Ovis aries: one gene and its partner. The protein of the gene in region 2 purifies or fractionates together with the protein of the main gene of each other region. This does not show direct contact. Links are inferred from orthologs where the notes say so. Each region holds a gene or a part of one and is shown on either strand. Other genes may lie near its edges.

Region 1 (4,360 bases), on a different chromosome or scaffold from region 2:
GTGAGATCTACTTGGATCCCTCTGTTTAAAACTGCATTCCTCTTCTCTGCTTTATTTTACTCTATTCAGTTCAGTTCAGTCGCTCAGTCGTGTCTGACTCTTTGCGACCCCATGAATCACAGCACGCCAGGCCTCCCTGTTCATCACCATCTCCTGGAGTTCACTCAGACTCACGCCCATCGAGTCCGTGATGCCATCCAGCCATCTCATCCTCTGTCGTCCCCTTCTCCTCCTGCCCCCAATCCCTCCCAGCATCAGAGTCTTTTCCAATGAGTCAACTCTTCTCATGAGGTGGCCAAAGTACTGGAGTTTCAGCTTTAGCATCATTCCTTCCAAAGAAATCCCAGGGTTGATCTCCTTCAGAATGGACTGGTTGGATCTTGCAGTCCAAGGGACTCTATAGCTCTAACTTATTTCTCACATTTTATGTATGAATGAACAGTTCGGAAATGTGTAGAATACAATACTGGGTATATTGTTCAATTCAGTTCAGTCGCTCAGTTGTGTCCGACTCTTTGCGACCCTGTGAATTGCAGCACGCCAGGCCTCCCTGTCCATCACCAACTCCTGGAGTTCACTCAAAATCACGTCCATCCAGTCGGTGAGGCCATCCAGCCATCTCATCCTCTGTCATCCCCTTTTCCTCCTGCCCCCAATCCCTCCCAGCATCAGAGTCTTTTACAGTGAGTCAACTCTTCACATGAGGTGGCCAAAGTACTGGGGTTTCAGCTTTAGCATCATTCCTTCCAAAGAACACCCAGGGCTGATCTCCTTTAGAATGGACTGGTTGGATCTCCTTGCAGTCCAAGGGACTCTCAAGAGTCTTCTCCAATGCCACAGTTCAAAAGCACACACAGGTATATTGTAGATTCTACATATAAATTATATTCCCTTTATTTGGCCAGTGGTTTGAGGTCTGAAGTGATAAAGCGTAGGGGTCTTAGGGTATAGGATGTGCTGGTATACCTGATCAACCTCTTAGAGGTTATTTCAGTGCCAGGCCCTCTTGAGTAGAAATATTAATAGTTAACACGTTCGTGCATGGATTCATTGATTCATGCAAACAAATATTTCTTGGGGCCCTTCTATGCGCCAGTTCTTGAAAACAGCTATTACAAGCATTTCACTCAGGATAACGTCTTTTTCGTAACCTCCCCACAGCACGCGGCGGTGGAAGACACATACTCCTGCCAGCAGAGGGCGTCCCCTCGCCCTCGCGGCGTGTTCTGGGCCCACGACGCTTTCAGGCTCCCACGCTCGCTCCCGAGCGCGGCCCCGCCTGCCGCGTCACGTGACGCGGCCGCCGAACCAGAGCGGCCGGTCCCAAACCGAGCTAAATTCGTTGCCAGTGGCCTCTGCGGGTGCCACCACAGAGGCTCATCTGAAGGAGTGGGGAGGCTCGTGGAGCCGATGCTTCCTCTTCCGATTTCAGGTCGGCTCCTGTTCCCTCTCACCTTTCGCCGCTGCCGTCTCCCCGAGTGTTTGCATGAGCTCTCTCGTACGGGGAGGCCCCGGTGACCATGTAGGGAGGGAAGAGCGAGGAAGCTCCGGGAGTGAGGGACGAGGTCAGCGCTGTGTGCACGCCGGCGCCCACCACATCCACAGTGCGGGCCGGGGGGCCCCTCGGCCCAGGTGGGACACTCGGGCCTGCAGTAGTGGCCTGGCACGGAGCTCCACGAAATCTCGCGCGGTCTCGCGAGAGTCTAAGTTGAAGGAATATGGCGACGTCTAATCTGTTAAAGGTAAGACCCTCAGTCCGTCTTGGATTTCTACTCCGGGAGCGGTGGGTTCAGCTCTCGGGGAATGGCTCGGTTCTGGTTCAGCGGCGAAATGGGGGAGTGTTCAGGGGTTGTCTACCGGAAGGGAAGCCAGGGAGGCAGCCGCCGAGGAGTGGAACGCGATTCTCCGGCCTTGGGGTCGAGAGGCCCTGGTTGTCCCTGGTGCCGGTTGCCTGGTGTATGAAAGGCCCGGCCGAGGGCCGACGGCGGGCAGTGGTCTCAAGGGGCCAGCGCTGGCTCGGGACCCCGGAAGAAAGGTGGTGCAGCGTCCTGACGGATCGGTCAGTTAGTGTCCTTAGGGTCTCAGTTTCTTCTGAAGCGGGAGTCTTGAGACGCATTAAAAAAAAAAAAAAGAAAAGAAAATCCCAGAAAATGTTGCTAACAGGTTTTAATGACTTGGATCCCCACCTCCTCAGTTTCTCTTCTCATTCTGTCTGCGCGGAATTCCAAGTCAGACGGCAGCGCCTGAAGCCCCAACTCCCTCCCTTAACTGCGGGCTACACCTTCTCTTCTGTTCTTCCTTTCTTGAGTTCGTATGTTTACCCTTTTTAACTTAGGAAACTGTTCCTCAACCCCATTACAGCACGCAACCAGATGACTACAGTGGAAGCACTGCCGTTGTCTTAGGGCTTAGGAAAGTTGCCTTATCAAAGACAACCGTTAAAGTTAGTTTTATGTATTTGGGATAGCAAGGGGGATCTAGGCCTAGAGAAGCGGATTCTTTACCATCAGTTACAAAGTTGAGAGGAGAAGGAGGAAGACCTGACACTAGTTTCGTCTGTGGTATGTTTGTAGTAGGCAATACTTTATACCTTAAAAGTACTACTGAAATGGGGGTAGTGGATGAACTACTTCTCCCTCAAAAACCCTGTCAATTAGGCCTTCAGACAGTGTTGATAGAGAATAGAAAATATATTAAAACTTACTGTAACCTCACTCTTGTCTTCTTTAGACTACTGATACTAACTGTATTAGTCCCTCTAATTTTACTAATTTTAGAGGCAGTGTGTCTTCTTTTGGAGAAGGGAATGGCAACCCACTCCAGTGTTCTTGCCTGGAGAATTCCATGGATAGAGGAGCCTGGTCGGCTACAGTTCAGAGGGTCACAAAGAGTGACACTACTGAGCAACTAACAAACATATATACACCGCCCCCGCCCCTCCCCGCCCCGCCCCTCCCCTCCTACCCAACCCCGTGTCTTCTTTTAAAAGAGGGAGGGACCTAGAACTAGACCTAATTTCTGCTACTTAGAATTTCTGCTCCATGACTTTGGGCAAGTTTCTCTCCGTTCCTGAGTTTCCTCATCAATATAGTGAAATTATCAATAGCACTTACTTCATAGGAACTTTGTGAAGATTGAGTTAGTATATGTATAATCTTAAAACAGCGACTGGATCTTAACTGGCATGCAATACACATAAATTGCTACAGTTACTACTGCTGTTTCTCTAAGAAGACAAGTTCATGGGAGTTGAGTAACTCACTTCTTTTATAGCAGTATAGCAAAGTTCTAATATATTAATTCAGAAAGAAAACTAACTTGCAAAGACTCCTGTTAATGTATCCATGTATTTACATAACCAATAGTGTATGTTATTAATTGAAATGTGTTGAAGAAGTAATTGTGAATTTTTGACTTACTGATAATGTGGATGTAAAGCAAAGTCTTTTTTTCCTCCCAGATTTGTGTCTCAGGAAAGAGTGAGTCACTTTATTCTACTCCATACAAAGCCTTACAAAGCATTGTTTGGAGGAGATAAAAGTCTGAAGCTCCTTCGTTCAATACTCTTAAGTCGTTACCTTGTAGAGATTATGAATCTGTATGTATAGCACACACCCACCTATAAACTGAAAACACCTGAATGTATAGAAATAGGTGCTTAAGACTTAGGTTAAAAAGATCATAATTCGAGCAGTTCTGTAACTCAACTTTTATAAATAAAAGGAAAGTGATAATGTTCTGACAAAACTGGTAAAAGTCACAGTCTCTAGGGAATACAAAAAGATGACAGATACACTGGAAAATTTTCAATAAAATTATTTAATGAGATGTTGAAAAGGGGGTAAAAGAATTTCTCAATATTTTATGTAGTATGTGATTTTTAAATACATACAACTAACAGTGGATATTATAAGTAGACATTTGATTCTTTTATCTGTATCACCAAAAGTTTCCTTATTTACATTGGTCAGAAAAGTTTTTTTTCCTTTTTTTCTCTCCTCATTGAAGTGTGTGGATGGGGGGGATGGCGGGGGTTGTCTTGTATTTATGCCTTTAGAAATATTTAATGAAAAAGTAGGAAGTTTGTCTTGGAGAAATGGCAGGGAGACCCTTACCAGAATTCATAGGGTCATTTGAATTAAAGTCTGGAGGAGGTTGAGGGGAAGGGATGGACTGGGAGTTTGGGATTAGCAGATGCAAACTACTGTACATATAGAAAATAGAACGGATAAACAACAAGGTGCTACTTACTATATAGCACAAGGAACTATATTTAATATACTGTGATAAACCACAGTGGAAAAGAACATTGGAAAGATTGTATATATTTATGTGTGTGTGTGTATAACTGAATCACTTT
Region 2 (4,224 bases):
CTGTCGCTTAAACTACTTAAGCCTTTTGTTATGGCAGTCCTAGCAAACTACAAAAGGTGGTACAATAATTAGATTGTGATGAGTTTTCAATACTTTTTAAAAATTTTCTTTAAATTATGCTTGCACTTTTTTTTTTTTTAAATATGTGACCACACAGCACGGTGTGAGGGTTGTTGGTTCTTGGACTGGGAGTCAAACCCTGGCTCCTTGCAGTGGAATCTCAGAGCCCCAACCACTGGACCAGCAGAGAAGTCCACAATTTCATGTTCCTAAGTAACTTTTTTGAAGAAACTTTTAAATTTTTCTTTATTTGCTGTCTTAAGCCAGGCTCGTGCACAGTATGCAGGATCCTAATTCCCTGACCAGGAAACTGAACCTGTGCACCCTGCTTGGAACCACAGAGCCCCAACCACTGGACCGCCAGGGATGTCCCCAGAACTAATGGTAAATGTGCTTTTCAAAAGTAATTAAGGACACCCCTCTCTGTTCCTCCCTCCACTTTAAGAATCCCTGACATAAAGGAAGGCATAAAGGCATAAAGGAAGGACCAGCCAGCGGATATCCTCACTTATGAGTCACTGGAAAGTGGAGGCCTTAAGGGACATAAAGGTGAAGTTAGACAATCTTGAGCCAGTCTTTTAAAAACTACCAATGATAAACAAACGGGCATTGACTTGGCAAGCAGGACTTTTAATGACAGGCTGATGTAGGCTTGCAGAGTTTGAGAGGGTGGTTTTTATAACAGGCGAGCTCCTTTAGGCTGCAGTCTTTAGCATAACCTGGCTGTCTGCGACTTGTGGCCTCGCACCTCCCAGGTGGAGGTCACAGACTCTCCCGTGGTGAGGATCCCTAGATAGAGCGATATTGTCCACAGGAAGAAGAGAGAGATGGCGAGGTAAGGACAGTTTCTTGAGGGAGAGAGGAAGGGAGCCCTTTATAGGTACGAAAACTCCGGGTGTTAGCCTCGATAAGCGGATCTGCGGAAGCACCAGCTCTTTTACTCCCCTCTGAAGTCCAAAGGTGCAGCCGTGGCTTAAAGGCCCTCGGTTCCGCCCTGGGGCCTTTGTTCCGGCGCTTAATGTTCCAGAATCAAACGCCTGAGGGATGTGGGCGGGGGCGGAAGCTGCAAAGCAGCACACTGGGAGCGGGCGGAGCGGAGACCGCGTCACCGCTGCGGCCGCTAGGGGGCGCGCGAGCCCCTGCAGCCGCCCGGCCCCCGCGCCTGCGCAGATAGCCACGTACGTGACCGCCGCCCCCGGGAGTCCGCGCCCCCGCGTGTTACATAACCGGTTCCCTGGCGGCGGCGGGGGTGGCGCGTCTGGCTCGGAGAGCTGGGAGCGTTACCAGCAATCGCCATTTGGTCACCACCCTTGGGTTTGGCGCAGTGGCTTTTCATTTTTTGAGTCCCGACGCTGCCATTTACCAGCTCTAGTCACAGACAAGTCGGTTAGCCTTTCCGAGACCCAGTGTATAAACCTGTCAACACTGGGCCATCTTAGTTGTGTGGATTAAATGAGAGGTGATGGGGTTGCATCAGGCACACTTAAAGTGAGCTCAACAATTCTCAGGGCTTCCCTGGGGGCGCAGCGGTAAAGAATCCTCCTGCCAGTGTAGGAGACAGGTTCTATCCTTGGGTGGGGAAGCTTCCCCTGGAGGAGGAAATGGCAACTCACCGCAGTACTCTTGCGTGTCTCCACAGAATTCCATGGACCGAGGAGCCTGGTGGGCAACAGTCCAAGGGGTCGCAAAGACTTGAACACGACTGAGCACGGGAGTCTGCACACAAACACACCAATTCTCAGATTAAATAGGGTGGCAGGTCTCCAGGTACTGCTCCCCACCGACGGTGGGACTGGACTCTGCCCTTGGCCCTGGGCCTGAGCCTGACTGCGGTTCTAGTGTTTTGCTTTTCAAACTAGTGTTTTTAAGCTGCCTCTTTTCCGTATAACACGACCCACCTGAAGGCAATCTAACAGTTTCATCTGGCGCCCACCCAAAGAAGCAGCAGTTCCTTCCCGCGCTGGGAGGAAAATGGGCTTACTTAGCGAGGGCCATCTCCAACGTGGCACAGGAGTATGACCTCAAGAAATCACACGTGCAATTGAGATTCAATAGATGTGTGAAGACAGGTCATCAGGTTCTTCTGCTGTTACAGGGACAGCAAGGTACGTGTGAATCTTAAATCAGGAATGAGAACACACTAAACTTATTCCTGGAAGAAATGAAGCAGAAATAGGTGCCTCACAATGGCCATACATGGCAGAAAAGGAAAAAGAAAAACTTAGCCTTGTCATAGTTCACGCTTCGGCCAGACAAGAGGGCGTTGGGATGGAAGAATTTCACAACTAGCCAAGGATGGCATAACAGGTTTAGAAACCAGATATGTTCCAACCGTTTATGAGGCTGTATCTGTGGGGGAACCTACCCAGGACTACTAAGAAATATTGGCCAAAGCGCTGTCCCCCAGAATATAGCAAGGTTGGTATCTTCTGAGGGGGACTTGCCCGACTGCTTTTATGTTTCCAAACTAGTAGCTCAAGACCCTGGTTTAAAAGTAAGGAAAGACTTTGTGGGGGCTTCCTGGTGCCTCAGCAGTAAAGAATTCACCTGCAACACAGGAGAGTCGGGTTCAATCCCTGGGTCAGGAAGATTCCCGGGAGACAGAAATGGCAACCTGCTCCAGTATTCTTGCCTGGGGAATCCCATGGATAAAGAAGGCTATCATCTACGGGGTCTCAAAGAGTCAGACACGACTGAACAACAACAAAATGAGCTCGTGACCACCTCTTCCACCTCCTTTCCTGGAGGCAGTGAAGCAGTGTGTTTAATAAAGCCAGAGAGTTCTACAAAGATACAAATCCCAGTGTCCTTAAAAAAAAAATTTTTTTTTTTTCTTCTGTACTCCAGCATTTCAAATGCAAAGTCCTGGGTAGCTGCAGTATTTTTCTTGATTTGCTTTTACAGTCTACATCCTAGAAGCTAAGTTGGACATCAGAGAGAAAGGCCTTGGCTTTGTCATTGCCGCTCACAGGCAGCAATACCACTCTGCAGTCCCACACGCTTTATGAATGCGCTCATAAAGGCATTGAAGTTTTCTTCCCCCTAACATCACCCCATCCTTCGTTCTGCTGTAAGCGTGAAGTTCTGTTTCAAAGTCACATGCATGAGGCTGAGATTCCTCCTTGAGAGCCAGGGAGAGCTGATGCTGGGCTTAATGTGGTCATGAGTTGAACAATTTGAAGATGCTCCAATATTTCCAGTTGCATCTTTTATATTCAGCAGGCATGGAAACAAACCTCAGACAGTCCTTGCATGTTGGGAAGAATGTGTTTAGAACTTTAAGGGTTTTCTGTTGACAAGTGAAACTCACTGAGTGGCCTAGCAAGTGGATCGTGGTGGCTCTGTGGGAGAAACTGAAATACACGAAGAACAGAAAACCAGTAATAAAAAGCTGAGGAACTGATAAAGAGAAAGAACGGAACAGCTCAAATTTTCATAAACTTGTTAAAGCGTTCCATGCTGTAAATAACTGAACGATTTCATTTCTGAACAAAATCCCTCTGTGGCGAGAAACCTGAAAATTACATGTGGTTAAATCTATACATTGTAATTCCTTGTAACCCAACAATTCTGCACGTAAGTATGCCCCCAACAAAAATGAGCTGCCTAGGTCCATTAAAAGACTCCTGATAACTATACACAGTAGCTAAAGATGGAAACAGTTGTGGTATATCCATACAACATGCGTATGCCCTGGGCTCAGTTTTGTCTGACTCTTTCTGACGCCATGGACTGTAGGCCACCAGGCTCCTCTGTCCATGGCATTTTCCAGGCAAGATTACTGGAGTAGGTTGCCGTTTCCTCCTCCAGGGGATCTTCCCGGGCCAAGTCTCCTGTGTCTCCTGCATTTCAGATGGACTCTTTACTTGCTGAGCCATCAGGGAAGCCCACGCTTACAATGGAATATTCAAACAACTATCATTTCATGCAACAACATGGATGACTCTCACAGACCTAATGTTGAGGAAAAAACAGGTCAGACACAAAAGAATACAAAGAATACATACTGTATTGTTTCATTTGCAAGAAATCGATGAAGTCAGTTAGTCAGTTCAGTTGCTCAGTCATGTCTGACTCTGTCACCCCATGTACTGCAGCACACCAGGCCTCCCTGTCCATCACCAACTCCCAGAGCTTACTCAAACTCATGTCCATTGAGTTGGT

The links.
Region 1: the proteins of SPSB2 (region 2) and CUL5 purify together in Homo sapiens (affinity purification with mass spectrometry; 4 studies listed by BioGRID and IntAct, counting the BioPlex papers as one, with this or other methods). This does not show direct contact. The link is inferred for Ovis aries from reciprocal best matches to the Homo sapiens genes SPSB2 and CUL5.

The regions. Positions count from the first base shown.
Region 1 is NC_056068.1:17,272,414-17,276,773, forward strand, and holds the start of CUL5 (cullin-5), read left to right. Parts: upstream 1-1,289; 5' UTR 1,290-1,718; coding exon 1,719-1,742; intron 1,743-4,360. UniProt on the Homo sapiens protein: Core component of multiple cullin-5-RING E3 ubiquitin-protein ligase complexes (ECS complexes, also named CRL5 complexes), which mediate the ubiquitination and subsequent proteasomal degradation of target proteins.
Region 2 is NC_056056.1:209,407,697-209,411,920, forward strand, and holds the start of SPSB2 (SPRY domain-containing SOCS box protein 2), read left to right. Parts: upstream 1-1,291; 5' UTR 1,292-4,224. UniProt on the Homo sapiens protein: Substrate recognition component of a SCF-like ECS (Elongin BC-CUL2/5-SOCS-box protein) E3 ubiquitin-protein ligase complex which mediates the ubiquitination and subsequent proteasomal degradation of target proteins.